Danio rerio: one gene and its partners. The protein of the gene in region 1 binds, or shares a complex with, the protein of each later gene. Links are inferred from orthologs where the notes say so. Each region holds a gene or a part of one and is shown in the gene's direction. Other genes may lie near its edges.

Region 1 (6,397 bases):
TCATCACGGGGTAACATTTAACTTTACAGAGATGTTACGTTTCCTCACACCAAGTAATGATTTCAAAACAATCTCTATACAACACTAAATGTATCCACAGACATAAACAACCGAAACAATCACATCAACAAACCATTGAGATAACAAAGGATATATTATACATTGAATGCTTACCACTGAACTGAGGTTTAGACATGCCTTTCTCTTTGGTCTGTAGACAAGCGGTTTCACGTTACGTTAGGCTCACCTTATGTCAGGTATTCAATAATAAAAAATAAATTTTACGTTACATGGAATTATTCGATAACAAGACGAGAAAGTATAGCTATAGTGAGTCAGGCCGTTACAAAACGACGGTTGATTTTTAAATGAAGGTTTTGACCGTTAGAATTTAGGCGCGCAGAACAGAAATTCAAATAAATGTGAGGTTTTGATGCCATCTAACGTTCCTCATTATTACTGAGTAAATCATTTATGACTATTTTAATATTTAACTAATTATTCCACATCTTGATTAATTTAAAATTTTCATAAATGCTGTATTTACAAATTTAGTTCTGTAATTCTGCAAAATATAGCTCATGAATTACATGAAAACAAACATCAAACATACAAAACAAATCAAATCATAAAGGTTATGTATGTTTTTTTTTTTGTTTTTTTTTTTTACGTGTCCCCTCTTGAAGTTCTGGGAAAGTTGTTTTATGGTTGGAAAAAAAGTTAAATCTAAAAAGAATTCGCAAAACGTTATCTTTGGCTTTAAAAAACTAACGTTAACAGGAATCAAAATCTAACGTTAAGGGAACGTTGAGTGTTCTCTGACCGGCGTTATGGAAGAGCAGCAGGTGCTGGATGTCCGGCTGGATATCTCTGGTCTCGGCAATGAGTTTTTCCACTCCTGCTTCACAGCCCAAATCCACCGGGACGCAGCGGACGGTGAGGCCGGTCTCCCCGCGGGTCAGCGCGCTCTTCAGCTCCAGCAGCTGCTCCTCCGACCGAGCCGCGAGCACCAGTACTGAGCCCGGAGATACACGTGCCGCCACCGACAGAGCCAGAGCTCGGCCGAAGCCCCGGGATGCCCCGGTGATGATGACCAGTGCTTTCCCGAATCCCGAAGCCGTGCTCATGATTCCCCAAGGACTGACGAGAAGAGCTGCCGAAGAACCGGAGAGTTCAGCATCGATTAGTCACGCCTCCGGAAGACACGAGAGACCCCGCCCACTTTATGGTTTATTAATAAAATAATAAACTGTGAAATAGAAAATTTATGACTCCAGGAATACACAAAAGAGTAAATATAAAACAAAACAATAGACAAATGAGTGAAAATAACAAACAATACTGTAAATGGGGTTAAAAGAATGCTAAAAACATCAAGAAATAATTAAAGAATCAGAACAGTGATAAATATATATACAATAAATCTATACAAATTTATATTAATAAATATATACAAATTTAAACAATTTACTAGATACAGTAAATATCTAGGCCACGAGATCAATTCACACAATAAAACAATACATAAAAGATATTTAGGTGTATGAAAATGTGTAAATAGTAACAAATATAATAATAAATATAATAATAATAATAATAATAATAAACATAATAATACATGATTATTTATATAATCTCATTCTTTTAAGAACCTGTGTTTACACAATAAAAGAATAACAAAAATAAATGTAGAAAGCAAATTGGTTCTGAAAAGTATAAAATTATTTTGTTAGAGCATATAATGTTAACTTAATGTTTTAATGTATTAAAGTTTTGCTATATTGTCATTTAAAATGTTAAATATAAAAAGTCTCTTAATTCTCGTTACAAAATAAAACCTCACACATTGTATAACACGAACTTAAATCGTTATTTAATGACCAAATTCAGATGATTAGATGCTCAAACCGAACACGAACACAGTCGGGCTTTTATTATGAAGTGGAGCCGTGCTCGCCGCCATATTGCCCGGCTATAGTGTTGTTGAAGCATGGCGGTGGAGATGCGGCTTCCAGCGGTTCACAAACACGTTTCCCTGAAAACAGGACAGAGTTCCCGCGAAGACAAACACCTGGTTGTGCCTGGAGATGTGATCACCTCCGACACGGGCTTCATGAGGTACACAGACATTAATAACTGGTATTAACTGAGCTGTTGTAGAATAAATGTGTGTGTGTGTGTGTGTGTGTGTGTGTGTGTGTGTGTGTGTGTGTGTGTGTGTGTGTGTGTGTGTGTGTGTGTGTGTGTGTGTGTGTGTGTGTGTGTGTGTGTGTGTGTGTGTGTGTGTGTGTGTGTGTGTGTGTGTGTGTGTGTGTGTGTGTGTGTGTGTGTGGAGTGAACTCGTTGAGACCTGCAGTCTGTCAGTCTGTAGCGGACTTGATTGAGAACTCAAGTTAGTGTATGTAGTGTATTTGTTCAGTGTTGGAGAAAGTTACTTTACTGACAGACTCTTCTGGAAAGTAACTAGTTGCGTTACTTTTTACGGTGACGCGTTACGTTACTTTTAAAATACATTATTTACATGTGTATTGATTGAGGTAAAGTTGGTTTGTATTTGCACGTTCGTTCATTTTTGAACGGTGATAACTTGTGACACGTTGCCTGTATTGTACTTTGAGTATTCGGTCTGAAATCGCATGTAGTTTGACTTAAAAACAACATCAGCACTATTTAATTGACTGTAAACAATGTTGTACTCTGATAGTCATTGGCTGCTGATATGAGTTCATTATTAAAATTTGTAAAGATTACTTTTTTGAAACTGTATTATTAAGAAGAAAGTCTGAATGTGCCAATATAAAACCCACTTTACCTCAATTGTGGATTGCTGTAGCAAAGTAATGCTTCACAACTCTGAAAAATCAGTCATCAGATATAAATACTAGAAAGATTTTAAATGATATATTATTTGATAAAAGTGCTCTATGTTTAGACTGTAATATTATGCTTTAAAAATGCAACCGCAAACATTCCCACAGGTTGTAGGGTTAAGGATTAAAACTTGTTTAAATGGCCTTTCCAGCGATTATATAGTTTGTCATGATTAGATTAGTATTTAAATGCAGTATAGTGAATTAAACTTAATCGTCCTGCCACTGAGACGTTGATTGTTAATGGGTTAAAACAGAACCTCTAATGTGCCAGTAAAACATTTCAATAGCATTGACTAACAAAGTCACCAAAACAGAACTTCACAGTCTGCATAAGAAGTCCATGCTTTATAAACGTCAGGGACTAGTATCATAGAGTTGTAATGATAGGATAAAGTCTGCATGAGAGCGATTATGCATTATGGATGTGACATTTTAACAGTGCTGTAAAATACAAGCCTACTCAAAACACCGGGAAAGGGTTTGGTGTTTTTGTGAAGAATGTATTTGTTTATTTTATGGCAAGGTTGACATTTGCATGGAATTGCTCAAAATCTAAAAGGTCCAAGACAAGTCTAATATTATTACTGATGTGTCTAGCTCTTACAAAGCCGGACTGTGTCTCCACAATCAGCTGACTGATTCTTTATCTTTAATCTGTTAGGAAATATCAAAAATAAATTTATCGTCAACAGTGATGAGCGTGATGGACACCAATTATCGGTTTGGGAACACCTCGTTTCATTGATGATGTCTTGTCTTGTCTATTAGATCAATGCATTCATTATACATCCAAAGCAAAGGGTTTTTAATTAATTTGTGGAAAGAGCATACCAATCTTGACGGATAATCCATCATTGCTGGGAGATTTACCTTTCTTCATGGACGATTCGAACTTTCTCCAAGGTCAAATTGGAATCAGAGTATATTAAATTCAGAACTGGATCATGCGTTTCCATTTTATTTACAAAAACAATCCTTACATTATCTGTCAAAAGCAGAAGTGTAAATGTTTTACTAAAAATCTGTAACAAAATTAACTATTAATTAATTTCCGAGTGCCCCAACTTTCTCTTTTTGCGTGCACTCTTGCGTGTCTATATCTGAAATAATAAACCTGAGCTCATGGTGAGAACTTGTGTGTGATTATTAAAGTATTTTTCACATCCATTTAGAAATGGCCAAACATGAAAGTCAAGCTTAAACAGCAATGTTAATATGGCTTAATAAATGTTTTATAGCAGTCTAGGAATAGAATCATAGCTTGTGATGTTTATAGTCTGCATAATCGAAAAGGTCTAAAAAACTGTAATATTATTACTGATGTGTCTAGCTCCTACAAAGCCGGACTGTGTTTCAGCAATCAGCTGAAATCTTTAATCTGTTAGCAAATATCAAGGCTAAAATTTTATTGTCAATAGTGATGAGCGTGATTGCACGCTAATTATCTAAATTTTAGATCAATGCATTCATTATACATCCAAAGCAAAGGCTTTAATTAATTAGTAGAAAGAGCATATAAATGTGCCGGTCAATCCATCATCGCTGGGGTGAAACAAGAGCCCTTTAAATTTTGCTTTACTGTCTTATTGAATGTGAAATTCCAATTGTGCGAAGATAAAAACCGTTTTCATCTGACTTCACCTCGTCCTCAGGGGTCACGGCACCTACATGGATGAAGACAGACTCACCGCTTCAGTGGCAGGACAGGTGGAGCGAGTCAACAAACTCATCTGTGTGAAACCGCTGAAGACCAGGTGCACACTGACTTACACTAACGCCACAGCACAGGTCTCAAACTAAATTCCTGGAGGGCCGCAGCTCTGCACAATGTGCCCCAACCCTGATCAACTGTGTTTGATTGGCTTGGAGCAAAACTGTGCAGAGCTGCGGCCCTCCAGGAGTTAGAGACCTGTGCACTACAGTATAGCACACTGCACTTCACTAATGTATAATGCTGTGGTAATACTGTGTTCTAGATGTGATGTTCTCCTCCTGCAGGTATAACGGAGAGGTGGGTGATGTGGTTGTGGGCAGAATCACTGAGGTCAGTGGTGTTCAGTAGTTTATGTATAAAATCTCTCGTTGTTGTTGTTGATGATGATGATGATGATGATGATGATGATGATGATGATGTGCATCTCTAAATGTTAAGGTGCAGCAGAAGCGATGGAAAGTGGAGACTAACTCGCGTCTGGATTCAGTGCTGCTGCTGTCGGCGGTCAATCTGCCTGGAGGAGAGCTGGTGAGCTGGCAACACGCATTCAAGGGGCAGTTCACACACAACTCAGTTACAATACTTTAATGAATGCTCCCGCACTCTCTACCATTAACTATAGTGGACTGATAAATACCCCGCAGTTGGCTTGTTTGTTTATATTATTATAGTTGTTGTGTTACCATAGCAACTGTAGAATTACCACATCAGAGCAATTACTATTGTGGTTGTGTTACCATAGCAACTGTAGAATGGCCACAACAGATCAATTACTATAGTTGTTGTGTTACCATAGCAACTGTAGAATCACCACAACAGATCAATTACTGTAGTTGTTTTGTTACCATAGCAACTGTAAAATCACCACAACAGAACAATTACTTTTGTGTTTGTGTTACCATAGCAACTGTAGAATCACCACAACAGATCAATTACTATTGAGGTTGTGCTACCATAGCAACTGTAGAATGGCCACAACAGATCAATGACTATTGTGGTTGTGTTACCATAGCAACTGTAGAATCAGCACAAAAGATCAATTACTATAGTTGTTGTGTTACCATAGCAACTGTAGAATCACCACAACAGATCAATCACTATTGTGGTGTTACCATAGCAACTGTAGAATCACCACAATAGATCAATTACTGTAGTTGTTTTGTTATTATAGCAACTGTAGAATCACCACAACAGATCAATTACTATTGTGTGTGTGTGTGTGTGTGTTTTTTTCTCAGAGACGTCGTTCCACGCAGGATGAGCTGGCCATGAGGGATTATCTGCAGGAAGGAGATCTCATCAGTGTATCCTCCACATTTACCGCATCAGACATTCATCATCCCTGGATATACAAACAGTGTTCTTACTGTAAAAATACAGTCATTTAAAATAGGTATCAGCATTGAAAGAAAGCTGAAATATATAATAAAAATGTTAGCTTTCTTTCAATGCTAATACCTATTATAAATGACTGTAAAATATGACCTTTTTTATTAGTGCTTGTTTAATAAATACATTTATATTTGAGTTTTGGAAATAAAAAGTCATTAATATTAGCACTTATTTGTCTAATTTAGCATGAATCATTTTTCCAGCCTTATTTATTTTTGTTAGTAAACCTATAACTAGGCATTACCTGGGAAAAATAAAATATAATATTTGCAAAATAGATCAAATGTCACAGGAGGCTAATAATTCTGTCTTCATCTGTATATATTCTACTGTATTCTTTAACGTGTGTAAGGCGGAGGTTCAGTCGATCTTCTCGGACGGCGCTCTCTCTCTGCACACGCGCAGTCTGAAGTACGGC
Region 2 (5,282 bases), on another chromosome or scaffold:
CCCTTAAAATGTCATCGCAAGGTGTGAAATATTGTACAGACTTGCTAGCGCTTGTAACGGTTGGTTCCGAGTCAGAATGATTGCTTCTCTGAAGTTGCATGTTAGGAGGAATTGTCTTGATTTGACAGAGGAGCGGCTGCTTCTGTGGCGAATTTGTCTAGAACTGCAGGAATTCACGGCAGGACGGGGATATTTTTGTAAGGACGTGAAACGCTGTGGCTGAATTTAATTAGTTTTACGACCCTCTTCGAACCCTTTGAGCAAACTCTCGTTTGAAGAGCTCACTCGAGGCACGTGTCTCTCTCGATTACTGAAGTTGTTTGTGAATTTTCAGCTTGCTTTTTTATGGCATTTCTCAAATTTTAGAGTACGGATAAATAGAACTTTTATCACTTAATTCATACAATATGCATACAGTTTGCATTATAAACTAATATTAATTTAGGAATATGAAGTCTTAAAAAATAGATGGAAGGGTCAATAATTTGGCCTTCTCAACTCTTAGACCCTTTAGCCTATACTGAACTTTTAAGTACTTGCTGTAATGTTAAACCATGCTTGATTCATTCATTCATTTTCTTGTCAGCTTAGTCGCTTTATTAGTCTGGAGTCGCCACAGTGGAGTGAACCGCCAACTTATCCAGCAGGTTTTTACGCAGCGGATGCCCTTCCAGCCGCAACCCATCTCTGGGAAAACCATGCTTTATGATGCTGTGCAATATTTATACAATCTATTTTATTAAATGTATTGGTATTGGTGGCGGATGTGGTGTTGTCGCGAACTGAAGAGCGTAGTGGTGGACATTGGGGGACATTGTTTCACAGTAATGGGTTGCAGCTAGAAGGACATCCGCTGCATAAAACATACACTGAATAAGTTGGCAGTTCATTCCACTGTGGCGACCCCGGAATAATGAAGTGACTTGGCCTTTTTGCGCTGTGGCAACCCTGAATTGATATAGGGACTAAGCCAAAAAGAAAACACACATATGGGGGTGCTTGGGGTGTTTTTTGTTGCCAGTTTGATTGGGCCCCCAAATAGTAACTCTGGGGGTCCAAAAAGAGTGCATCTTCCCTGCATAGTTCTTAATCGTTCTAACCTTTTCCCCCTGGCGACGCCCCTGCATATAGCCAAGTTTCATGAGTTTCACTCATTGTGATTAAGTATTTTTATAAGATCCAGCTAGAGAGGCCCATGGACTGTACAATTGTAATTAGCCTAAACCTACAGTGCTCAGCTTATATAAGTACACCCCTCACAAATCTCTCTTTTAAATTCATATTTGTAATAGGAAGCTGTACAATATTATATTTGTGCATATACAATAGATTAGTCAGTTCTGAAGCCTATCCAACAAAATAACAAATTTTTTATGATACAGAAAAATATTAAATACAAATTTTAAAAAGAGGAAAAATCAAGAGAAGCAAAAAATAAATAAATTTTGTTGAAATTGTGTAGGTTGTAATTTAATTTTTTAATGTTTCACTTGAATTTAATTGTATAATATTTTAACTTCTAAATATGTTTTGTGACTAATATATTATTTTAATACATATTTCTGTTTATTAAATCTGTTTTGTTTAAAAGCACCAGGATTCATTGCCTATATTCACTGAGAAATGGATAAAATTACAAATTTTCAAATTGGGCTGTACTCAATTATGCTGAGCACTGTATATACTCAACTGCCACTCAAAAATTAAACGAGCTATTTACATACAGTAGAAAACTCAATGCATTTAGTCATGCCGACTTTGAGGGAAAGGGATGTGATGCATTGTTGATGGCAGAAGTCAGAGGACATTTACCTGTTTTGAGCTGAAAGGCAACAGTCAAATAACTCTCTTCAGGCAAGATATGCAGACCATCTCTGAATGAATACACAACATGTCAAACCTTGAAGCAGATGAGCTACAGCAGCAGAAGAGAACATGATGCTACTCCTGTCAGCAAAACAGCAAACTTAACCTAACACTAACATGGTTTACCGAAATTGGACAAAGGAAGCTTGAAAAACTGATTAGGTGAGTCTTGATTTCTGCTACAACTTTTGTGGAGTCAGATTTTTGATCTAAACAACATTAATGCATGGATCCATCCTGTCTCGCATCTTCAGTTTAGCCAGCTAGTAGTGTAATGGTGTGTGTGTGTGTGTGTGTGTGTGTGTGTGTGTGTGTGTGTGTGTTTGTTAATTTGTGCTGCTATGTTGCTTCTATATGCTGTATCGTGTAACTGCTATCATTTTGATTCTGTATTGGGCAAATGTCTTCTGTCCAACTTAATTATCTGTCTTGACTGTCTGACAATGGGAAATGACTGTTCGTTGTGTTGCTGCTATTGTAAAATGTCCACATTATTTCAACAGTTGGTATTTACATTATTAATGGTGTGAAGGATGTTTCTCTGCATACTTCAGGCCTATCAAAAGTAATAATACAAACAGCACCGTGTATTGAGCTATGGTTGCAGACTGCAAGTCACATCAGTGTTCGACTATCTACACTGCAGCAAAATAGTAATATCCAACGTGTTGAAAAATGGCTAAACTAGGTCTACATTACGTCTGTCAAATGAACTATTTCATTCCTGACTTTAAAACATGCACATCACATCTAACAAAGCATAATGTCTTTGCCACAGCACATTTGCCACGTTATCCCTATCCGGCAGAGGGCAGCAGCGCGCAAACAGCATTTGATTGCAGCATCCCGAAGCATTTGATTCCTCGAGGAAGACTGAGTAGTTTCACCGCTGCAAAGTAAGCTATGCTCTCGTAAACACGTGGGTTTATTAAAAATGCCGGTTGACACAAAACGTATTCGTGGACCGGAAGAGTCGCAGTCCCCGTTGCTCTTTCTGTCCCCGGACAAAGCCCCTAAAGCCCCCAGCAGCAGGCAGGGCGTCCGCGGGAACGGAGATGTGCGGCCGGTGTTTGCGCGCTGCGGGCTAGTCAGCCAGGCGAAAGGCTCCGCGTACATCGAGGCTGGAAACACCAAGATCATCTGCTCGGTGTACGGGCCGAAGGAAACGGAACGAAGGGACGAAACGGACATGAAAACCGGTCGGCTGGTTTGCGACTTCAGGCTCGCGCCGTTTTCCTGCGTGAAACGGGGAGCCTGGATCCAGGGCAGCGAGGAGAGAGACCTGTCCGCCACTCTGATGGAGAGCTTGCGGCCGGGAGTTTGCCTACACAGATACCCGCGCTCTCAGATTGACGTGAATGTCATGGTTTTGGAGAATGACGGCTCGGTTCTGGCGCACGCGGTGACCTGCGCTTCGATGGCCCTGGCGGACGCCGGTATCGAGATGTACGACATTGTTTTGGGTTGCACGCTGCGGCAGAGCGGAAACGCGTGTCTCGTTGACCCGTCATACGCCGAGGAGTGCGGGAGCTGGCAGGAGGGCTACGGAGACAACCAGGGGTGCGTCACCTTGGCTCTGCTTCCCAATCTGAATCAGGTGTCTGGCCTGAATGCGGACGGGGAGATGCGGGAGGACACTCTGACCGAGGCTATGAGAACCTGCATGGACGGCTGTCATAAACTCTACCCGGTGGTTCAACAAGCGCTGACGCGGGCTGTCAAGAAGAAAGCGCCTCCGCCTGAGAAATAGACTTTTGTTTGGCGCTTCTTTTTGAGAACAGTTAAAATGATTACAATTGTTGAAATTTTGTACATTTAAATGTGTAATAATGTCGAACCAACTAAATAAACTCCTCTGCAGTTTTATCTCCTCTATGATCTTGTATTTGTTCATTTCAGTGGTGTTGCTGATTTTGTATTCAGATTATTTCCCCCTAAACGAAAATCTCCTGTCGCACCCTCAATGCCATCCATGGTGTAGATCAGGGGTGCCCAAACTTTTTCTTATGAGGGGCCAAAAAAGTTGATTATAGGTGGTGAGCTGAAGTTAAATAAACCAAAGTATTACATTACAGTTGCCATGGTAATTACCTTATTTATTAATATTTAAAATAAATTGAAAGAATACTGAAATCATTAATAATTATATCTTTTTTGCATTTTATAATGAACATCTTACAATAAAAAAACAATCCTCTTTATAACAATAATGTTCACTGCTGAATATATTCAGGACACTTGATTTGCTCATCAAGGACTCTTACTTTTTTTTTTTTTAAATGTGATTCATGCACAACATTTAAGTGAAACTTTTAATTTCAGTTGCTTTTTTTGCAACCCAACAATTAAATGAACAAACAAAAGGTTACATTAAAATTAGAAATGACAAGCGCGCGGCATGGCACCAACCTTTTCATCATTCTCCCTCACTTCTCAGATAGGATGGCAGGCCGTAGTTTGGGCATCTCTGGTCTAGATGGCTTTTTCCTTTAGTAGAATATTTAAGATATTTAGATGAAGCCATTGCCCATGGTCAGTCGTAAAATGCAAGTCAGTAGCTTGCAGCACTTTCATAGTCTGAAAAACACAGGCAAAACAAGTTAATACCCGTGGTTCTTTGGGTTTCTATGAAATGAATCAACTGTTCTGTGCTAGAAAGTAAATGTTATAAGAATATTACCTTAATCTCTGCAAGATGCACAGACTCTGTGTTGGTGGCCGTGACTAGAACTATTATTTGAATCACCATAGGACATCTTTAATTAAGTAGACACCTACTTCTTGGATAACCCAAGTATGAGCAACCAGCACTTTTTTTATTTATGAGGTAACTGCCCCTTTAAACAGGGTTACCACGCTTCCTAAAAGTACTTGAATTTCAGACAAATAAATTCAAAACAGAACAAAACACTGAGAAATTTAAATTCTTTCATTTCAATATTGCACAATAAAACTGACAAATTAATGCACATTCAAGTTTTTTTCAACATCCAAATCAAATCACTTTTATTGTCACATAATGATTTGATTTGTTAAAAAAAAACATGACTGTTAAAAACGATTCATTTTTGAAAATTACTACATTTAAGCATAAATATCTAACAACAAGTCTAAGTGAAATACTAAGTACAGTTGGTGTATGATTTACAACAGCGATTTATTTAAAATTAATGGTGCTTTAAAAAGTACTTTAAAGTCTTTGAATTTGCTGTTTGTGGAAGTGTGGGAATCCTGTTTAAAGAACTGAAAATGAATCAGTAATAAAAAAAAAAAGGTTTAGATGTTACTATCGGTATGTTAGTCTTAATGATATCTGTAATCTAGTGTGCTCCAAAACAGTGACAAATTTGGCAATTAGAAAAAAACAAACAACCAAAAACGAACCTAAATGGATAAACATTTTTTTGACGTCACTT
Region 3 (6,383 bases), on another chromosome or scaffold:
TTTATTTGCACCTGTTTCCTTTTTTGTAATATAAAGGTGTATTGATAATGCCAAGTTGTACTTTACTATATGTTCAATAAAAAATAAATGAAAAGTAAAATTAACAAAAAAGTTGCCATTAAACAGGGATAATAAGAAGAAACTTGACTGTACAAAAAAAAAAAAAAAACAATACAGAAGCTTAGCTACTTGTCCTGATGGGTAGCTTTGTAGGTTATCAAGGTTTCTACAGGTTTCTCAAAGTCAAATTTAAGACTTTTTAAGACCTTTTTAAGACCCTTATGAATGAAATTTCAGACTTGTACAGGACTAAACCGTAAAGATTTGTGCTTGCCTCATTAAAAAAAAATCTAATTACTTAATACTTAAATGTGTCAAAACAAGCAAACCATACATACTTTTCTTTGACAAGCTTTAAAAACTTTATTAACCTAAATGTACAATAGTCTTTTTAAGGTCAGTGTCCCCGCCACATATGGTCTACAAATCCCCGGAGAACATAAAAAAGTTATTATGAGGAACCATATTGTTAAATAGAGTTTTGTTAAAAGTTTTATTGGGGTGTGTTATTGGTGAGTGTATACTGTATACAGGTGTTGGCCTGATTTGGGAAGCTTTACATGGATATTAGAAAATTACAACCTATTTGTAATGATTTAAGACCTACAATTCAATATTTCAGCAAATTTAGAACTTTTTAAGGACTAAAATTTTATTTTGAAAATGTAAAACATTTTAAGACTCTGTGGATACCCTGTCAAAGTAACTTCCCCAAAAACTGGCAGGGAATAAAGTGAATTACCCTAAGCTAGGGATGTACACTGCATAAAAAGTTAATTCTCTTTAAATTTGTGTGTATGTGGTTTGCATATTGATAAAGTCACATATTCGCATGAGAAGAATTTACTATCACCTGTAATTTAAATGTGCACAAGACATTAGCTCATAATTAAGATCCACTTTAAATATGAAACAATTTAATAATGCAAATAAGTTGTAAAATGTAAAGATTTTTTAATGACCCATAACAGTCAGGATTAGTGTTGTTTTTTTCATCCACACGCCCCCTTCAACTAGCCAATCAGCTCTGAGTATAAATCCACAGACATGTGAAGGTTGAAGGATCCATTAACTGTTACCTACAACAATCTTCAGACATCTGACCACTAGTTATTGCATTTAAAACAATCATGACCATGTGACATTGAGCACTATTTCTTTTGTAGGTCAGATGAGGAACACCTAACTTATACATTAGCATTTACATTATTAAGACAGTTCAGTAGCTTTTATGTTTGAAACTAGCATAAAACGTCTTTATACAGATGTTGTTAATATTAGTCTCATACAATTCTAGGAAATGTTTTCGGTCTCCCACGGCTACACACACTTCATACAACCTGAATGGCAAGTTTTGCTAATGTTAAAAGTCCGTTGGTGGCGTATATGCAGCTGCCATAAACGTAAGACTTACATTGACGCGGAATCCCCTTTGTTGGAGAAGCGTTGTTGCTTTTAATGCTGTGTTTTGACGAATTGCATGAAGCCCAATGCCATATAATTTCTTCACAGCTCTAGCAGCCGCCATCTTTACGTCAAGTGCGTGTCTCTAGCGTCTTTTCCCTCCTCGTCTCTGGAAATCCAACACACTGCGCCCCCTACAGGAAAAATGTTACTCCTCATTTTTACGGTTTTGTCTGAGAAATGTATCCTTTTATGTACATTTTAAATTTGATTGGGGTCACGGTAGTGTGTATAACTAAAAGGAACAAGCAGAAACGTGCTTATAAAGTCGCTATACATGTGTCATTACATCCTTAATTCCGTTAGAGGGCGTAAGTGCACTGCTAACATGTGTCATGTCGTCATTATTGTGCGCTCAAAACAATGACCCATTTATGGATGCGACGAGCAGATTGTGCATGAGGACCGAGATGGAGCTGGAGCGAAGTTGTCCAGTTTTAAGAGAATATGGAAGTGAACAGAGTTTGTTATCAAGACCTGACGGGTCGTCCACGTTTGTACAAGGTAATTTATAAATGTTTAATGTAATTTATTTCTTTACTCATGTCATAGCAGTTATTTATCTGTCAGGCCAAAGAATATCCAGAGATCTATTCCATTCATTTAAATATGTATCGTTTTGAATTTGTAAATGTGTTTTTAGGGGACACGAGTATCCTGGCTGGAGTTTATGGACCAGCTGAGGTTAAAGTCAGCAAGGAAATATATGATCGGGCAACTGTAGAGGTCCTTATACAGCCCAAAATGGGGCTTCCAAGTATGTTTTTAAACAGTTTTATTTGCAGCCATATTTTGACAGTAATTGCATTATTTATTAATATTTTTTAATAAAAACGTGTACATGCAAATATATATATTTAATCGCGTCATTGGAATGGAGTTTAGTTTTAATTAATTTAATGTTATATGTCATGTTATGACAATATTACAAATTTATAAAAAATTACCTTTATCTTCAACAAATCAACATATTTGAAAGATTTTTTCAACACATTTCTAAACATATTAGTTGTAATAACTCATTTCTAAAAATGGATTTATCTTATCTTTGCCATGATGACAGTAAATAATATTTGACTAGATATTTTTCAAGACACTTTTATCCAGCTTAAAGTGACATTTAAAGGCTTAACTAGGTTAATTTGGTTAACTAGGCAGGTTAGGATAATTAGGCAAGTTATTGTATAACGATAGTTTTTTCTGAAGATTATCAAAAACAAAAAAAAACAAAAAAAAAAAAAAAAAAACAAAGAGACTAATAATTTTGATCTTAAAATTGTTTTAAATAATTTAAAAACTGCTTTTATTCTTGCCGAAATAAAACAAATAAGACTTTCTCCAGAAGAAAAAATATTATCAGACATACTGTGAAATCTGTTAAACTTCATTTGGGAAATATTTTTAAAAACAATCAAATGGGGGTTAATAGTTCTGACTTCAACTGTACATTTACACTACTGGTCAAAATTTTGGGGTCAGTAGGATTTTTAAATGTTTTAAAATAAGCTTGTTCTGCTCACCAAAGCTGCATTTATTTAAACAAAAATACAGGACATATAGGACAATTGTGATATGTTATTGCACTATAAAATAATAAATTATATTTTATATAAAATCATTTATTCCAGTGATTTTACACATAAATTGTCAGCTTCCTTTAGTCTTCAGAGTCATGTGATCTTTCAGTAATCGCTCTGATATAAATTGTTATTATTATTGCTGTTATTATGGGGGTAATGGTAATAGTAATAAAAGTAGTAAAGTCTGGAATAATAACTTCATTTGAAACTACACACAATAAGAAAGCAGTTATTAATTAATTTTTTTTATTTTTTTTTACTTAATAAATGCTGCCTTGATGAACAGAATCATTTTCTTTAAAAAAATCGATATGAAAAAGTGTGTGAGATCTACATGTCTACATGTATATTCATCTATTTATTTTTTGCTTTGTATTATTATCATTGCACTGATGTTGGATTAACTTAAATCTGTCTGCATTTAGCATATCAGCTATAATGTGAAAGACTGATACAGATAATTAATAATTAAATAATAGAAACGCATTGCACATCTTTTGAACAATCTAAAGTTTTTACAAAATAACAAAATACAATATATATACAAATATCAGGCATGAATCTTTTATGTGCATTATGCCAGTTGTGCACTGGAAAAGCAGCTGGTGTGCACCATTAGTTTGGGTTAGTTTGGGATAAAACATCTTTCTTGTTCAAAAAAAAAAAAAAAGATTTAGTTTTTTTTTTTTTAAAGCAGAAATATGTATAATTTACAGATAGCAAACTGCACTGGCTTTTTTCGGTTATTTCAGGAAAGTTCTATTATAGCAAAATTGTTTAGTGTTATTAAAAGAAAATCCCCTAATCACCTTTGAACATTGTCATATTGCTTTTTTTTGTCTTAAAACGTGCCTCTCTTAAAATGTTAGACATTTGAATTTTGAATGGATCCAATCTATATTCAGTTCAATGAATTTAACTGAGTAAAAAGTAGCTTGTACTGTATGCAGATGACTAATATTTTGATATATTGGCATGCATTTCTAAAACATTTCATTGTTTCTTAAGTATGTGAAGTTGTTGGACACATTTCCTTCTGCTTTTTTGAATTGATTTATTCAAAACTGTTGGACTTATTTACAGTATTTAAGGCAAGTATGTTAGAAGTAACTGCAATTAAATTACCCATCCATGAAAAGTAACCTACTACTTTACATTTTCAGTACAAAAGTAATTACAGTAACACGTTACTTTGTAATTAATTACACCTAATATGTCCCAGACCAAACACTAGCCACTTTGTTACTAGTTACTAATTACACCCAATATAACACAGACTAATGCAACATAAATATGAATTGTTTGTCACTTTTTTATTTAATATAATATAAGAAACAATTACCTACATGAGTATAAACTGTTTAAAGGGAGTCTTAAAACTACATGTCAGGAAGAAAATGTTATGCCATAAAAAATGTGTGTCGTTTATGTAAATTGTTTTTATTTAGTCAGTGTTTTATTATTACTAATTATTATTATTATTAATGTTTAATAATACACATATACAGCTCATACTAGAATAGTAAACATAGTTATAATTGCATGGCCTGCACAGCCATGTTTCAGCATTAGGTGTCAGTCTGGTACAGTATTTTTTTAAACTTCCTCATACTGTGGTGCGATGTGTTGTGTTAGGTGTCCGCGAGCGAGCGAGAGAGCAGTGTGTCCGTGAGACTTGTGAAGCTGCCCTTCTGTTGACCCTTCATCCACGCTCTTCTCTCACGGTCATCCTGCAGGTCGTCCACGATGATGGATCTGTATCCTCAACACCAGCAAAACTCTTCTTTATAAATGCAAAATGAAGAGGGGGCAAATATGATGTGTCCGTGGTTTTATTGTTTGAACTTTTTAGTCACTTACCGTTGAAGGGAGGAGTTTGTTTTGAATATTTAGGGTTGAGTATTAAAGATTAGTATGTTTTATTACAATGAATGTATTAAAACGAAAAAAGTGGCAATATAGACTAAACGTACAAAAAAATTGAAGATTTGAATAATTGGCTTCTTTTAATACTCTTCAATTTTATTATGTTTTAACGCTTGTTAGGAATGTTTTCATCCACTCTGGGGTTATTTTGAGTCTTAATTTGGCCACAACTTGTTTCAGCAAGCGGAATGATTTTGGTGACATTTTATTTTGACAAATTTTTGCAATTTAAAAAAAAAAAAAAAAAAAAACCTCAACAATAGACTCAGCAGGGCAAGTTTACTACACTGGTCCTTTTCGTTATGTTAGTGGCTGTTTTTGCCCTATTGATTTCCATTATAATGACATTTTTTTGATTGCAAAGTCATGAAACCATATTGTTATGCATTCTTGATTGGTGGTGGTTTTTCTCTTTTGAGAAGAGGTACAATTAGTAATTTTTACTGTTGGCCATTAGTTGCAGTGTAAAAAAAGCATTAGTTTCTGGCTTTTATATAGAGTATTGTGTGAGTGTAACCAAGTGTAAGAGCACCTTTGCGTACTTACCTTGATATGTCTGAGAAAATTAAAATAAGCATCTCAGCTCTCAAAACATAGCAAACATGGTGTGTTTATGCACCCTTACTATAATTTGCTGTTATGCTTCAATAAACTCCATATAAAAGCTAGAAAAGGTTTTTTTGAACAGACCTATCTAAAGGGTTTATGCTGCCAACACCAGCAAAACAGTTTTTTATAAATGCAAAATGAAGAGGGGGCACAGGTGAGTTGGGTGGGCTAAACTGTCCGTTGTGTATGAGTGTGTGTGGATGTTTCCCAAAGATAGGTTGCAGCTGGAAGGGCATCCGCTGCGTGAAAAAACATGCTGGATAAGTTTGGCGGTTCATTCCGCTGTCGCGATCATGGATTAATAAAGGGACTAAGCCGACAAAAAAATGAATGGATATTACAACAAATGCATTAAATAAAAAAAGGTGGCAATATAGAGTACAAAAGATTGAAGATTTGAATAAATTGGTTTAAAGTTTTAACTATTTCCAAAAATGTCATTAATCAAAAACAGGCACTAATTCTTAGTGCATATATATATATATACACACACACACACACACACACAAATAAATGGTGAATGTGGTGGTTGGTAAGTAATGATAAGGATACTGTATGTACGGTATGTACTTATACATGATTTTAGTATTAAATACCAGTTTTTGTAAAAAAAAATAAATAACAATAAAACAATTATTCAACAATCGGTTTTATATTTTAGTTAAACTACCAAAAAATTTAAAAATGTATTAGTTAATGTTAATGTATATATTTCTTTGTAGCTAACATGCAACTAAATTATCA
Region 4 (6,629 bases), on another chromosome or scaffold:
TTTTGCCATTTTTGTATTATTATTTATTTATTTATTTATTTATTTTCTTTGTATTTTAATTTTCATTGTTTCACTATGTCATCCAATGTCATGGTTGTTAATGTGATTGTATTGTTAAAACACAATTATATTTAAAAAATAATAATTTAGCCACGCCTCTTTTACAGTTATGAGGGTATAATGCACAAATATAAAGCCCCGCCCCCTACTTAATATTCAGTCTGAAGTTCATCACCATGCTGAAATTAAAGTCTCCGCAACCCGGTTGGCATAAGACATATTTCACCCAACAATGAAATGTAATTTGCTCACTGAAGATGTAGGGGCCTTTTTTCCTCATTTACACAATAAATTTTTGTTTAGTCTTTGGTTATTTACACAATGGCACCCGTTTCTGAGATTATTACATTTTTACTATTTTAAGCTGGTTATTGTCACACACTGTTAACACACAACTTCATTTAAACCCCTTATAAAGTGATTTTGCATGCTCTAATCCTGCACATTCATTTATTATGCTTGTTTTCTAAATGTATGCGCATGTGGGCGTTTCCAGAAAAAATAAATACCAAAATGTGCATAAAAATAGGTTGATGGAAACATAGGTAATGTCTGATGAAAGCAGAAAGGGTTGTTCATTCACACTGTGAAAAGCAATGAGTTGAATTTACTTTAAAAAAAAAAAAAAGTGAGTACACCCATTGCTTTTCAAGCTGTTAGTTGACTTTAAAAATTGAGTAAACTCATTTTCTTTTCGGCTTAGTCCCTTTATTAATCTGGGGTCACGGGTGACTTAGTCTTCACAGACAGCGTGACCATCCTTCTTGAAACTCACAGATGGTCATGGCGTGACCAAAGTATAAACCAACTCACACGTCTTTCTCGCCTTTAGCCATTGCAACCAATAATTCCAATATAGGCTGGCGCGCGCAACAGGAAGCGGGAGACGCATCTCTACAGCAACCTCTCGCCACACAACCTCTCCAATGCGGCGCCTCGTGATATTTGCTAAGAAGTCATATCAATTATATTCATTATCATTTGACAGTAGCGGAGGAACGCCGCCAAATGTAGCGAAGTAAGAGTGATGCTGCGTTCACACCAGACGCCGAACACGTATCAAGCGCGAGTGATTTGCATGTTAAGTAAATACAAACGCACCAATAGACATCCTGCAGCGCGATACGTGCGAAAGGTGCGGCGCGAATGACGCGAATTGCGCGAATGGCACGATACGCGCGAATGGCGTGCTGCAATTTGAGCGTTTTGTGCATTAGACGCGCTTGGCGCACGTTTTGCGCGAATCACTCGAGTTCGAAAATCTGAGCTTCAGCGGACATTCGCGCCGCGTTAACCAATCAGACACCGACAAAAAGTCATCAAATTGGGCTGGGCTCAGTCAGAAGCACCGCTGAAAGCCTCCGTCATCCAGGTTCAGTTTCTGGAGAAGTTTATGAGCTCACAGAACTGGATGCACGTCTGAAAGAAACTAGTGGACTCAGAAACGTATCGACGCTGTTTTTCAGTCTTCATAAAACACATAAACACTGTTATTTTCTTCATACAATCTATGTTAGCCATTTAGCTATGAAGCTAGTCACCGGGCAGAAAGAAGCCCTGCCCATCACGGGAATCCGCGTCTGTTGAATTGAATTTGACATGCGAATGAAGCGGATTTGACGCGCGAATGAAGCGAGTAAACTCAAATGTTCACGCGGCTATTTACACGCAAATAGCGCAATTTATCCGCGCATTCCGCGTCTGGTGTAAACACGGCATAATGATTTCTCTCTTATAATTTACTTGAGTAAGAGTAAAAGTAAAAATTTTTAAATGTTCTCAAAAAGTACCCAACAATTTTACTGAATTAAATGTAATGAAGTAAATGTAATTTGTTACTACCCCCCTCTGCTGGCTATATAATTTGCGATCTCCAGAAGTGTATACAGGGCTACGTTTTCAGAATGAGCCTATGTTGGATGTTTATTTCATGCACATGATTCTCACAGCTGCTGTCTAGTGAAAACAGGTTTGGTGGGAACTTTCCCAGTGAAACGTATCATCCATATCACTCTCAATACAGGCTTTTATTGACCAGAGTCTGGTTTTACACCTTTGAGAAGAAATGAGGGCTGACACTCGCTCTAGAGTTGCCAACTTTCCTATATTTTGGGCCACATTGATTTGTGCCGTACAGGAAAAATCTACCTTTTCTCTTTTTATTGAATTCTGTGCTGATTTATTCATACCACCGTGCTGATTAAGACTGGAGAATGATGATTCTATGAGGGAAACTGCTGTATTAAAGTCCCTGTAAAATCAAAATAGGCTATAATGCACAGCTAGTGTTTTCGGCTACCGATAAACTTCTGGTGAAATGTTAATGTGACTATTTTTTATTTCATACAGTTCCTTTTACAGCATCGATGTTGTAATGTCATTAAAATATAACTGGTTAAACATATTTAAGCATTCATTTAGTTGTTGAAGCCTAAAATAAGATGAAAAGCTGACAAATCAAACACTGTCTTGAGCAGCAGGCGAGCGCAGAAACTCCATTATAAATCCTGAAGTAAAATAAAAGTCCCTATAAAGACTACAGAACAATGTTATTTTAATGCATTGTTTCTTGTTAATTCTGAGACCCAATTTACATTGTAAATCATTATAATTGATTTTTTAAAGGAAAACAGATCTAAAACGCTGCGATTTTGTAACAGCAGTTCATTGGAAGCGCTTGTACTGGGTTACTAAAAATTAAAAGTCCTGCTGCATGTACACTATTAAAGGTGTTAGTGTGAATATGTTAGTCTTAATGTGCTTTAAAACAACAATAAGAAGCTACAAATATTCAAAGATTGGGTTTAACATAAGTAAGCTAACTCTGCCATCTAGAGAACAACCTAAAATACAGTATGAGGATTACTCGCATTAGTGAGAACTCAAATTAATCCAGCAGATGGCGGTAGAAGATACACAAGGAAAGCAAAATCCACAGCAGAAGAAGACCTGTGCGGAACAACAAGAAGAAGTTCATCACACACACGCGTGTTTTCAGTTAAGAAGCGGAGAGATATGGCGGGTCTGGAGCTGCTGTCGGATCAGGGTTACCGACTTGACGGACGGAAAGCGACCGAGCTGCGGAAGGTGCAGGCCCGCATGAGTGTGTTCGCGCAGGCCGACGGGTCTGCTTATCTGGAGCAGGGCAACACTAAAGCTCTGGCCGTGGTGTATGGGCCACATGAGGTGTGTGTTTGTGATGTCTTGGGTATGATAACGTTACAGGTATTACAATGATATGGTGAATTATGAGGACATGCTAATAATAAAATGCGACACACATAAATCTCTTTTTTTATTGAATAACGTTACAAGAATAATAAAATCACTGCATTGAAGAAAAAATACAATAACAAAAAATAAGAAAGGAGAGAGAGAAATAAAAAACACAGCATCAATCAAGAAAAAAGATTGTCATAAGCTTTAAGAAACTTATTATTATTAATAAGCTTAAGAGATTCAATATTGTACGAAATTTCAACAAGGAAAGTATTAAAAATAGGTATTGTTTGTATAAACTTATTTTTCGTGTATAAAAAATTTACAGTGTAACACAAAAAACCAAGTGTGCCGCAAGCCTACCTTTGAGTGAAGGTTTCGGCCGTTAGATCGCCCCCTGGGGGCTGGCTGCAGTACAAGTCATAAAGCCCGCCTCCTCCGTGTTAATGAAGGAGACTTGAGCCCAAATAAAAAAAAAATATTACACTTGCAATAAAATGTCCCGAAAGATAGTTCTGGTCGATTAAGGCACTGGTTATTGTGCTGAAATAGGTGCAGATCCTCATTTTTGTAAACAGTTTGTTTTTAGCAGTAATTTAATGCTGGGCGTGTCATCGTGATTGACAGCTGTGATTGACAGTTTCTCAAAGCAGCGCGTCTGAGCTTCGGCAGGAGACTGAAGTAGACTGAAATGTTATTATTCGATTTCTGTGTTATTTTACCGTGACAAAATGAGTTCAGCAGTAAACTACAGTTTCTGACATACATGATCCTGGTGGAACACTGTTTATTCGCTAAGTTCAGGGCTTTTTTCGGGCTTTATTAGTTTGCTGATACACGCCTAGCCACCCAGATAGCAAAACACAGTTCCGGCTAGATTCTCGCCTGCCGGAGACTTATCTCTTAGAGCTCAGACTGACTAATGTTACCTCTGCTGGACCTACTCCGGATGCCTGGACTCACTACCCAATTCCAGCCCGAGTCAATCGAGCCAGATGCGGCGGCCGAGCGAGCCGGCGCTGCCGCATGTGAGCCGGAATCAGCCCGCGACGCCGCGAGTAAGTTATGTGTTGCGGCCTGGAGCTGGCGCGATTGAATATATAAAACCCTCATATTTGTTAACGTTATTACATCCATTTGTGTTGATATGACAGCAAACGCACGCTGAGCAGTTCGGGGGGCGTGGTTGATTTTACATAAAGCGTTTGGTTGGAAGCTCGACTCCGCTCATTTTCGCGGCTCCTCCTCTGGCTCCATCAGACAGTCCTTCTGCGCATGTCTGGCTCCAATTTCAGCAGTCTTTTGCGACAGTTTGTGCCCGTCAAGCAGGCGTTTTGCCCTCAAGGCGTTCAATGGGAAAAAGGGCTGTCGCGTCGTCCATATTTTTTACAGTCATTGCAAAAAACACATAAATCTCACAGACATCATCAGAATGTATTATGATGTATTTAACCAATAACTGTATACCCTGCTGAAAAATCCAGCTTAAACCAGCCTAGGATGGTTGGCTGGATTTAACTGGTCGACCAGGCTGGTTTTAGTGGGTTTTTGGCCACTTCCAGCCATTTCCAGCCTGGTCTTAGCTAGGGCTGCTCGATTTTGGAAAAAATCATAATCACGATTATTTTGGTCATAATTGTAATCACGATTATTCAAAACGATTATCAGTTGAAGTCAAAATTATTAGCACTTTATCCTAGGCTGGTTCAAGCTGGATTTTTCAGCAGGACTATATATGAAACTGGGAATATTTTCTCTGTCAGTGGTCAGAATGTCAGTGGGATCTCATTTGTTATTATTTTTAAAATAAATTAAAACAAGAACAACACATTTCCGTATGTTTTTAAGTATTCGTGGATTCAATATAATAATATAATTCTTAATTAGTTAAACTGTCTAATATAATTGATTAAAATGGTGCTGTGAATAATAGACAATAATTATTACAAAACACTCAGGCCAGAATCTCTGCAGTAACGTTGTCCAACGTGTCGGTTATGTGTAACATCCAATATTTTATCATCGTTTAACTGAATAACATGTTGGAGTTCATCTTTGTCCCTGTAGATTCGAGGCTCTCGCAGTAAATCCTTGCATGATCGCGCCATCATCAACTGTCAGTACAGCATGGCCACGTTCAGCACGGCGGAGAGGAAGAGACGTCCACACGGAGACCGGAAGTCCAGCGAGATGAGCCTCCACCTCAAACAGACCTTTGAGGCTGCGGTGCTCACTGAGCTCTACCCACGCTCACAAATCGACATCTACGTCAAGGTACATGGACTTCTTTACGTTCATGCCGTTTATCATCCATCCACTCACCTGCCCAATTTTGCATCCACCAATCTCTGCATCAGTCGTTGATCTATTCTTAAATGCCCCCATGCATCTGTGCTTTCATTCATCCATCACCGTAAATCATATTGTATATTGATACTGAGTGCACTTTGGATGTTTTTAAAAACGTATACCAAATCATCCACACATGCATCCATCTGTGCATCCATCCATGCATAAGTTAATTCACATATTTGTACACATCTTAACATCCAGTGATCCATGCATGAATCGATCCGTCCATCATCATTCAAGCACATCCGTCCAAGCCTTCATCTGTTCATCCACTCATCCATCTGCTCAGTTGGTCATATGTCCAACCATACATCCTCCCTGGATTCTATCTGGAAATTCATCCATCCACCCACACCACTATCAATCCATGCATTTATTCAGCCATCAATCCATGCATCCACCCAGTTATCCATCCCTTCATGCATCCGCCCAACTATCTATCCATTCATCCATCCACCCACCCAACCATAAAATCACCAAGCTATCAATCCTACCCTTCATCTACCCACCCAACAGTCCATCCACCCACCCAACAATCCATTCATGCATCCATCCACCCAACAGTCGATCCAACCATTCATCCACCCAACTGTCCATGCATCCACATAAATATCCATCCATCCATGTATACACCCCACTGTCAATCAACTCATCCACCCACCCAACTATCGATCCAACCATTCATCCACCCAATTAATTATCCATCCATGCATTTACCCACCCAACAGTCCATCCATCTATGCATTCCCCAACTATTCATTCATCCAGCATACACCCACCTACCCATCCATCCACGTACCCAACTATCCATCTATCTATCCATCCACCCAACTATCCATCCACGCACCCAGTTATCCATCCGTCTACCCACCCAACTCCATTCATGCACCCACCCAACTATTCATCCATCCGACTTTCCATCCTCCATCTGACTATCCATCATCCATCCGACTATTCATCCATCCAACCACCAACTTTCCATCCCACCAACCACCTAA
Region 5 (6,446 bases), on another chromosome or scaffold:
TATTTTGAGGAAAACTTAATTTTCTTCATGGCAAGGTTGACATTTGCACGGAATTGCTCGTATATATATATATATATATATATATATATATATATATATATATATATATATATATATATATATATATATATATATATGTATATATATATATATATATATATATATATATATATATATATATATATATATATATATATATATATATATTTGGCATGGGACGACTCAAGGTATACCATGGTTTGGGAAAGTCAAGGTTTTAAAACCATGAAAATTTTCCGCTATCCCGTTCCTAAGGTATAAATAAGATTTCTTTTTTTTTTTTATTAATTTTTGTTTTGTTTTTAAGGACAGCAGTATCTCCAGCAGAAAATATAATCAAAGATTCTGTTTTAAACTGGAAAAATATTAGTGTTTATAAAAAAACAAAGACTGCAGAAGTGAATGATTCATTAAAATGATTTAGCCTGACATGTTTACTGCTCTAAAATATTTTAAATGTTTCCCAAAATAGAATATATATATTAAAAAAGGAAAAAAAAGTTTAGTTTTTTAACCAGAGATTTAAAAAGTAAATATTTCAGAGCAGTGAGCACAATAACATGATACTGTGAAACCGTGATATTTATGTCCAAGGTTATCATACGGTCAGAAACTAATACCAGCCCATGCCTGATACATATCACCATAAACATGACAGGCAGCGAGTCATATCATAGCATCATGTGCAGCTCTACTGTAGCACTGAGGAAAAATTACTTAAATCAAATAATTGTTGTTAGGAAACTGGCAATGTGACAATTAAAAAAAACACAAGTGGCTCAAGGAACATGTCCATGTGTTGAAGGAAATCCTGCATATCCCAAAAGCGTCAACAACTCATTTTCAGCCAAAAGCAAAGTTCCAGCCTTTTCACAGCACATCACCTGCATTAAAACACCGTAACGCGACACTGTAATCCGTTACTTTCGAGAGAAACTCTCCCCAACACTGTTAATAACAGATACACACACACCATAAACACGCTGAAGACGAGCAGAACACACACTTTAACCCCAGATACTGATGATGGAGGAGTGTCTGCACTGACTCCTGCATTGCTGAAGGTGTTCATTACAGTACACCTGAATCTGAAGCACTGACTCCATCATAAACACACTGTCCAGCTGATCTCACAGCCACATCACACCCTCTACACACTGACAGGGTTATTTCTGAGACTCGGTGTGTGTCCTCAAGCTCTTATTCTCGGCGGAAACTGCGATATAAACACAGTGAGGCGACTGCTGCTGTGCTGCTTTCATTGTCCACCCTCCGACGGGCCAGACGAGGCTAAAACCCACTCAAATCTGCCTTATTGGAGACGAAGCCCAGAGGAGTTTCGGGATAAACTAAGGCGAATGATAACCGGGGGTCTGTGTTTATCTGAGAGGGAAAAATAAAGCGAAAACTGCACCTGTTTGCAGCCAGGCCGATGCCTTCTGCCTCTGTGTGCTCCGCCATAACGGAAATGCCACAAAAGTCCCCATTTCCCGCTCAGCGGTTTTCAAACTTCTGAAACATCGTGACTTTTATTTCCAGTATGAATTATTTAACTTAACTGGTAAAAAATATGCATTTTTCGGTATAGTCCAGTAACTTGGCCAACAGTTTTGGTTACCAGAACGTTCCTATTTAGTTAAAGTTATTTTAGTTATAGTTTTAGTTTAATTAGTCCCAAAAATAACCTAAATTAAAGGGGAAGATTTGTGTTAGCTGGAATGTTAGCACGTTCTCCCTCTCTTTATCCAGTTTTTGATTTATTGATTGTTTTTACGATTTAATTATATTTCGTTTTTAAAAACAATCAAAGACTAAATATTAATAAATGGGGTAGATCTCCTTAAAATAAATCCTGCCATCACTTACTCAACCGTTAACGTTACATGTCCCAAACCGGTTTAATTCCATGTCTCAGTTGAACACAAGTTATTTAAGCGTTGGAAACCAGTAACGTTAACTGTTGACTTCAATAGAATTTATTTTCTTATAATGGATGTCGATGGTTACCGGTGTCGAATGATATTAAGAATGCTTTTAGAAAAATCTTTATAATATATTTCTGTTGTGGACATAAAGGGTTGGAGAGGTTTTAATGAGTTAATTTGTATAGGATAAGAGTCCCCGTGCCGGAAGTGCTCAGACACGTGTGTTTGTGTGTGTTTTCCGCTCCTCCATCATGGACTCCTCAGTGCACACTAGTCTGCTGGAGAGGATAGGAGATGTGGTTCTTCCAGGCGATCTGCTGTTCTCCTTCAGTCCTCCTGAAGCCGGAGACGCGAACCCGAAAGCGGACAGGCTGATCTGCGGCCCGGGGCTGCGGCGGAGCGGAGCGGAGATCCGTGTGTGTAGAGCAGGAGTCCTGAAACACAAACAACCCAACATGTACTGGGTCAACTGTCAGCAGAGACGGGTCAGAACACACACACACACAACATGTGCCAGCACACACTATTGTTCAGAAAATTCACTAACACACACTACAGGGCAGAAAACACACAATAACACACGCTACTAGCCATAACACACAACCTAACACACACTACTAGCCAGAACACACAATACCACACACTACTGGGCAGAAAACACACAATAACACACACTACTAGGCAGAACACACAACCTAACACACACTACTAGCCATAACACACAACCTAACACACACTACTGGACAGAACACACAATAACACACACTACTGGGCAGAAAACACACAATAACACACACTACTAGGCAGAACACACAACCTAACACACACTACTAGCCATAACACACAACCTAACACACACTACTGGACAGAACACACAATAACACACACTACTGGGCAGAAAACACTCAATAACACACAATACTGGGCAGAAAACACTCAATAACACACACTACTGGGCAGAACACACAGTAACACACACTACTGGGCAGAACACACAGTAACACACACTACTGGGCAGAAAACACACAATAACACACGCTACTAGGCAGAACACACAACCTAACACACACTACTGGGCAGAACACACAATAACACACACTACTGGGCAGAAAACACTCAATAACACACACTACTGGGCAGAAAACACACATTACTGGGCAGAAAACACTCAATAACACACACTACTGGGCAGAAAACACACATTACTGGGCAGAAAACACACAATAACACACAATACTGGGCAGAACACACACATTACTGGGCAGAAAACACACGTTAACACAATACTGGGCAGAAAACACACTCTAACACACACTACTGGGCAGAAAACAAACAATAACACACACTACTGGGCAGAAAACACAACCTAGAACACACTACTAGGCAAAACACGCAATCACACACACTACTGGAAAAAAAAAAACACACCACTAGGCAGAAAACCCAACCTAACACACACACTACTAGGCAGAAAACACACAATAACACACACTACTGCCAAATTGGTTGACATCGCCCAACCCTACTAAATAAATATATATATATATGAGTGAGAGAGAGAGAGAGAGAGAGAGAGAGAGAGATAGAGAGCTGTATACTACGTTTGGTCTATATAAATCATTTATTTTAGTCATCTTAAAGGGTCAGTTCACTCAAGAATGAATATTTACTCCCTTTCTCAGCGTATTTTTAAACCTTTACATGTTTCTTTTTTTGTCAAACACAAGAGAAGATACTTTGAAGAATGCAGAAAACCGGTAACCATTGACTTCCATAGTAGGAAAAACAAATGGAAGACAATGGCTCCAGGTTTCCAGCATTTTTCTAAATATCTTATTAGTGTTCTGAACGGGTCTGGAACAAGTAAAGGGTGAATAAATGACAGAGTGTTCATGTTTGGGTGAACTGGCCCTTTTTAACACTGCACAGGTCAGGATGTGTCGTGGTGCTCCTCTATCTGTGCTGAAGGTGTTCCGGACTGACCTCTGCTCTTTCCTGCAGTATGTTCCAGCTAAGGGTGAGAGTGTGATCGGCATCGTGACCGCAAAGTCTGGAGACGTCTTCAAAGTGGACGTTGGAGGAAGTGAGCAGGCGTCTCTGTCCTACCTGGCCTTTGAAGGAGCCACCAAGAGGAACAGACCCAACGTGCAGGTACATGATGACAGAGCCACTCCAGCAGCAACAACTCATGATCAACAGTGAAATGACAGATCGACCCACAGGGAAGCAGCAGCAGTCAGTAATGCAGGATGATCTGCTGTCAGGGCTTCACCGTCAATAACTGTGATTATAATGGAAGTGAATGGAGCAACAACAGACAACATAACCAAGCAGAGTCAGTGTGAACACACACACACACACACACACACACACACACACACACACAGTGTGAACAGTGTGTTGATGAGTTATGAAAACTCTCACAGCATTTCCCCATAATGTGTGTCAGACTCAGATTATTCAGCAGAAATCATCACATTTACTGAAACACAGAGAAAGAGGACAAATGAAGACTCGACATCAACCCAGAGTGGAGGAAAACAACCCAGCAAAGTCGTGTTCGGTGTGTATGAGTCCTCCTAACGCTGCTGTTTGCTCCTCCAGGTTGGAGATCTGGTGTTCGGGCAGTTCACCATCGCCAACAAGGACATGGAGCCGGAGCTGGTGTGTATCGACAGCTGCGGGAGAGCCAACGGGATGGGTGTGTTCGGAGGCGACGGGCTGCTCTTTAAAGTGTCGCTGGGACTCGTGCGCAGGTCTGACCTACAGCTACACACACACACACACACACACACACACACACACACACACACACACACACTCAACAGCACAGGCAGCAGGGAAAATAAGAGTTATAGAAACACACTTGTGAAGCGGACGAGTGTTTAAACACAGTGTCTGGTGTATTAGGACAGGTCAAGCCAGCACACACTACTGATCAGAAAACACACACTAACACACACTACTGATCAGAAAACACACACTACTGATCAGAAAACACACACTACTGATCAGAAAACACACACTAACACACACTACTGATCAGAAAACACACACTAACACACACTACTGATCAGAAAACACACACTAACACACACTACTGATCAGAAAACACACTATAACACACACTACTGATCAGAAAACACACACTAACACACACTACTGATCAGAAAACACACACTACTGATCAGAAAACACACACTACTGATCAGAAAACACACACTAACACACACTACTGATCAGAAAACACACACTAACACACACTACTGATCAGAAAACACACACTAACACACACTACTGATCAGAAAACACACACTAACACACACTACTGATCAGAAAACACACACTAGTGATCAGAAAACGCACACTAACACACACTACTGATCAGAAAACACACACTACTGATCAGAAAACACACACTAACACACACTACTGATCAGAAAACACACACTAACACACACTACTAATCAGAAAACACACACTACTGATCAGAAAATGCACACTAACACACACTACTGATCAGAAAACACACACTACTGATCAGAAAATGCACACTAACACACACTACTGATCAGAAAACACACACTACTGATCAGAAAACGCACACCAACACACAGTACTGATTAGAAAACACACACCTGTGTGGAGCACACTTATGCATCATACTGTTAGGTGTAGCAGTGTGTGTGTTACTATAGAGATGGGTCTTTACTCTAGTGTTGAGCGGAGAGAGTGTGTCTGAGTCTCGGACATTATCAGGAAGGCTATACCTGAGTTTAGGAGCCATAAATGAGAAGACTCGATCTCCTTTAGTGGACTCTGCTATTGTCGTTACTAGCAAAAGCCCTGAGTTTAGAGAAGTGAACATGTAAATGTGCAGTTATTAGTGATGATCGAGCGCTTGTGTGTGTGTGTGTGTGTGTGTGTGTATGTGTGTGTAGGCTGCTGGCTCCACAAAGTGATCTGGTTTCGGATCTGGAGAAGATGTTCCCCTGTGAGATGGTGGTGGGCATGAACGGCAGAGTGTGGGTGAAGGCCAGAACCGTCCAACACACACTGATCCTGAGCAACCTGCTGGAGGCCAGCGAGAACATGAGCACCGCGCAGAGACACACACTGTTCAGCAGAGTGGCGGACGGAGGAATATAACACACACACACACTGTTCAGGAGGCCTGTCGAGGGGAATAACACACATAACTAGAGCTGTGGTAAAAACTGTCGTCTCTCAGAGCTCCACTGATTCTGATATTTCTATTTGTCTGCTTTTTTTGTACAAGGAAGTTTTTGTATGAAAATTAAACCAGCTGAATCAGCCGACCTGTGTGTGTTGTTGTTGTTGTTTATTTAGTCAGTTATAAATGTTTTTTTTGTTAAATATAAAATAAGATACTTTGAAGAATGTTAAAAAAATTAGTAATGTCTAAAATAAAAATGACCGAAAGTGTTGTTGTGGTCCAGCAGGAGGCGCTGCTGTGGTAAA

What was found.
Region 2: exosc2 (region 1) and exosc6 share a complex: the UniProt entries of both Homo sapiens proteins name them as parts of the RNA exosome core complex. The link is inferred for Danio rerio from reciprocal best matches to the Homo sapiens genes EXOSC2 and EXOSC6.
Region 3: exosc2 (region 1) and exosc5 share a complex: the UniProt entries of both Homo sapiens proteins name them as parts of the RNA exosome core complex. The link is inferred for Danio rerio from reciprocal best matches to the Homo sapiens genes EXOSC2 and EXOSC5.
Region 4: exosc2 (region 1) and exosc4 share a complex: the UniProt entries of both Homo sapiens proteins name them as parts of the RNA exosome core complex. The link is inferred for Danio rerio from reciprocal best matches to the Homo sapiens genes EXOSC2 and EXOSC4.
Region 5: exosc2 (region 1) and exosc3 share a complex: the UniProt entries of both Homo sapiens proteins name them as parts of the RNA exosome core complex. The link is inferred for Danio rerio from reciprocal best matches to the Homo sapiens genes EXOSC2 and EXOSC3.

Annotation. Positions count from the first base shown.
Region 1 is NC_133180.1:78,504,165-78,510,561, forward strand, and holds the start of exosc2 (exosome complex component RRP4), read left to right. Parts: upstream 1-1,924; 5' UTR 1,925-1,990; coding exon 1,991-2,118; intron 2,119-4,525; coding exon 4,526-4,627; intron 4,628-4,871; coding exon 4,872-4,917; intron 4,918-5,025; coding exon 5,026-5,115; intron 5,116-5,825; coding exon 5,826-5,891; intron 5,892-6,331; coding exon 6,332-6,397. Other genes in the region: spra (sepiapterin reductase a), read right to left, coding at 824-1,127. UniProt on the Homo sapiens protein: Non-catalytic component of the RNA exosome complex which has 3'->5' exoribonuclease activity and participates in a multitude of cellular RNA processing and degradation events.
Region 2 is NC_133182.1:29,203,310-29,208,591, reverse strand, and holds exosc6 (exosome complex component MTR3), read left to right. Parts: upstream 1-2,800; coding exon 2,801-3,616; 3' UTR 3,617-3,741; downstream 3,742-5,282. Other genes in the region: slc38a8b (putative sodium-coupled neutral amino acid transporter 8), read right to left, coding at 1,813-1,874, 2,648-3,057. UniProt on the Homo sapiens protein: Non-catalytic component of the RNA exosome complex which has 3'->5' exoribonuclease activity and participates in a multitude of cellular RNA processing and degradation events.
Region 3 is NC_133193.1:38,982,152-38,988,534, reverse strand, and holds the start of exosc5 (exosome complex component RRP46), read left to right. Parts: upstream 1-1,894; 5' UTR 1,895-1,898; coding exon 1,899-2,028; intron 2,029-2,167; coding exon 2,168-2,281; intron 2,282-4,739; coding exon 4,740-4,861; intron 4,862-6,383. Other genes in the region: bckdha (2-oxoisovalerate dehydrogenase subunit alpha, mitochondrial), read right to left, coding at 1,475-1,588. UniProt on the Homo sapiens protein: Non-catalytic component of the RNA exosome complex which has 3'->5' exoribonuclease activity and participates in a multitude of cellular RNA processing and degradation events.
Region 4 is NC_133177.1:2,082,044-2,088,672, forward strand, and holds the start of exosc4 (exosome complex component RRP41), read left to right. Parts: upstream 1-3,020; 5' UTR 3,021-3,075; coding exon 3,076-3,246; intron 3,247-5,346; coding exon 5,347-5,553; intron 5,554-6,629. UniProt on the Homo sapiens protein: Non-catalytic component of the RNA exosome complex which has 3'->5' exoribonuclease activity and participates in a multitude of cellular RNA processing and degradation events.
Region 5 is NC_133189.1:58,543,717-58,550,162, reverse strand, and holds exosc3 (exosome complex component RRP40), read left to right. Parts: upstream 1-2,204; 5' UTR 2,205-2,215; coding exon of another isoform or gene 2,216-2,449; 5' UTR 2,450-2,961; intron 2,962-3,156; 5' UTR 3,157-3,842; coding exon 3,843-4,115; intron 4,116-4,568; coding exon 4,569-4,720; intron 4,721-5,905; coding exon 5,906-6,113; 3' UTR 6,114-6,281; downstream 6,282-6,446. Other genes in the region: tcerg1a (transcription elongation regulator 1a), read right to left, coding at 1,454-1,500. UniProt on the Homo sapiens protein: Non-catalytic component of the RNA exosome complex which has 3'->5' exoribonuclease activity and participates in a multitude of cellular RNA processing and degradation events.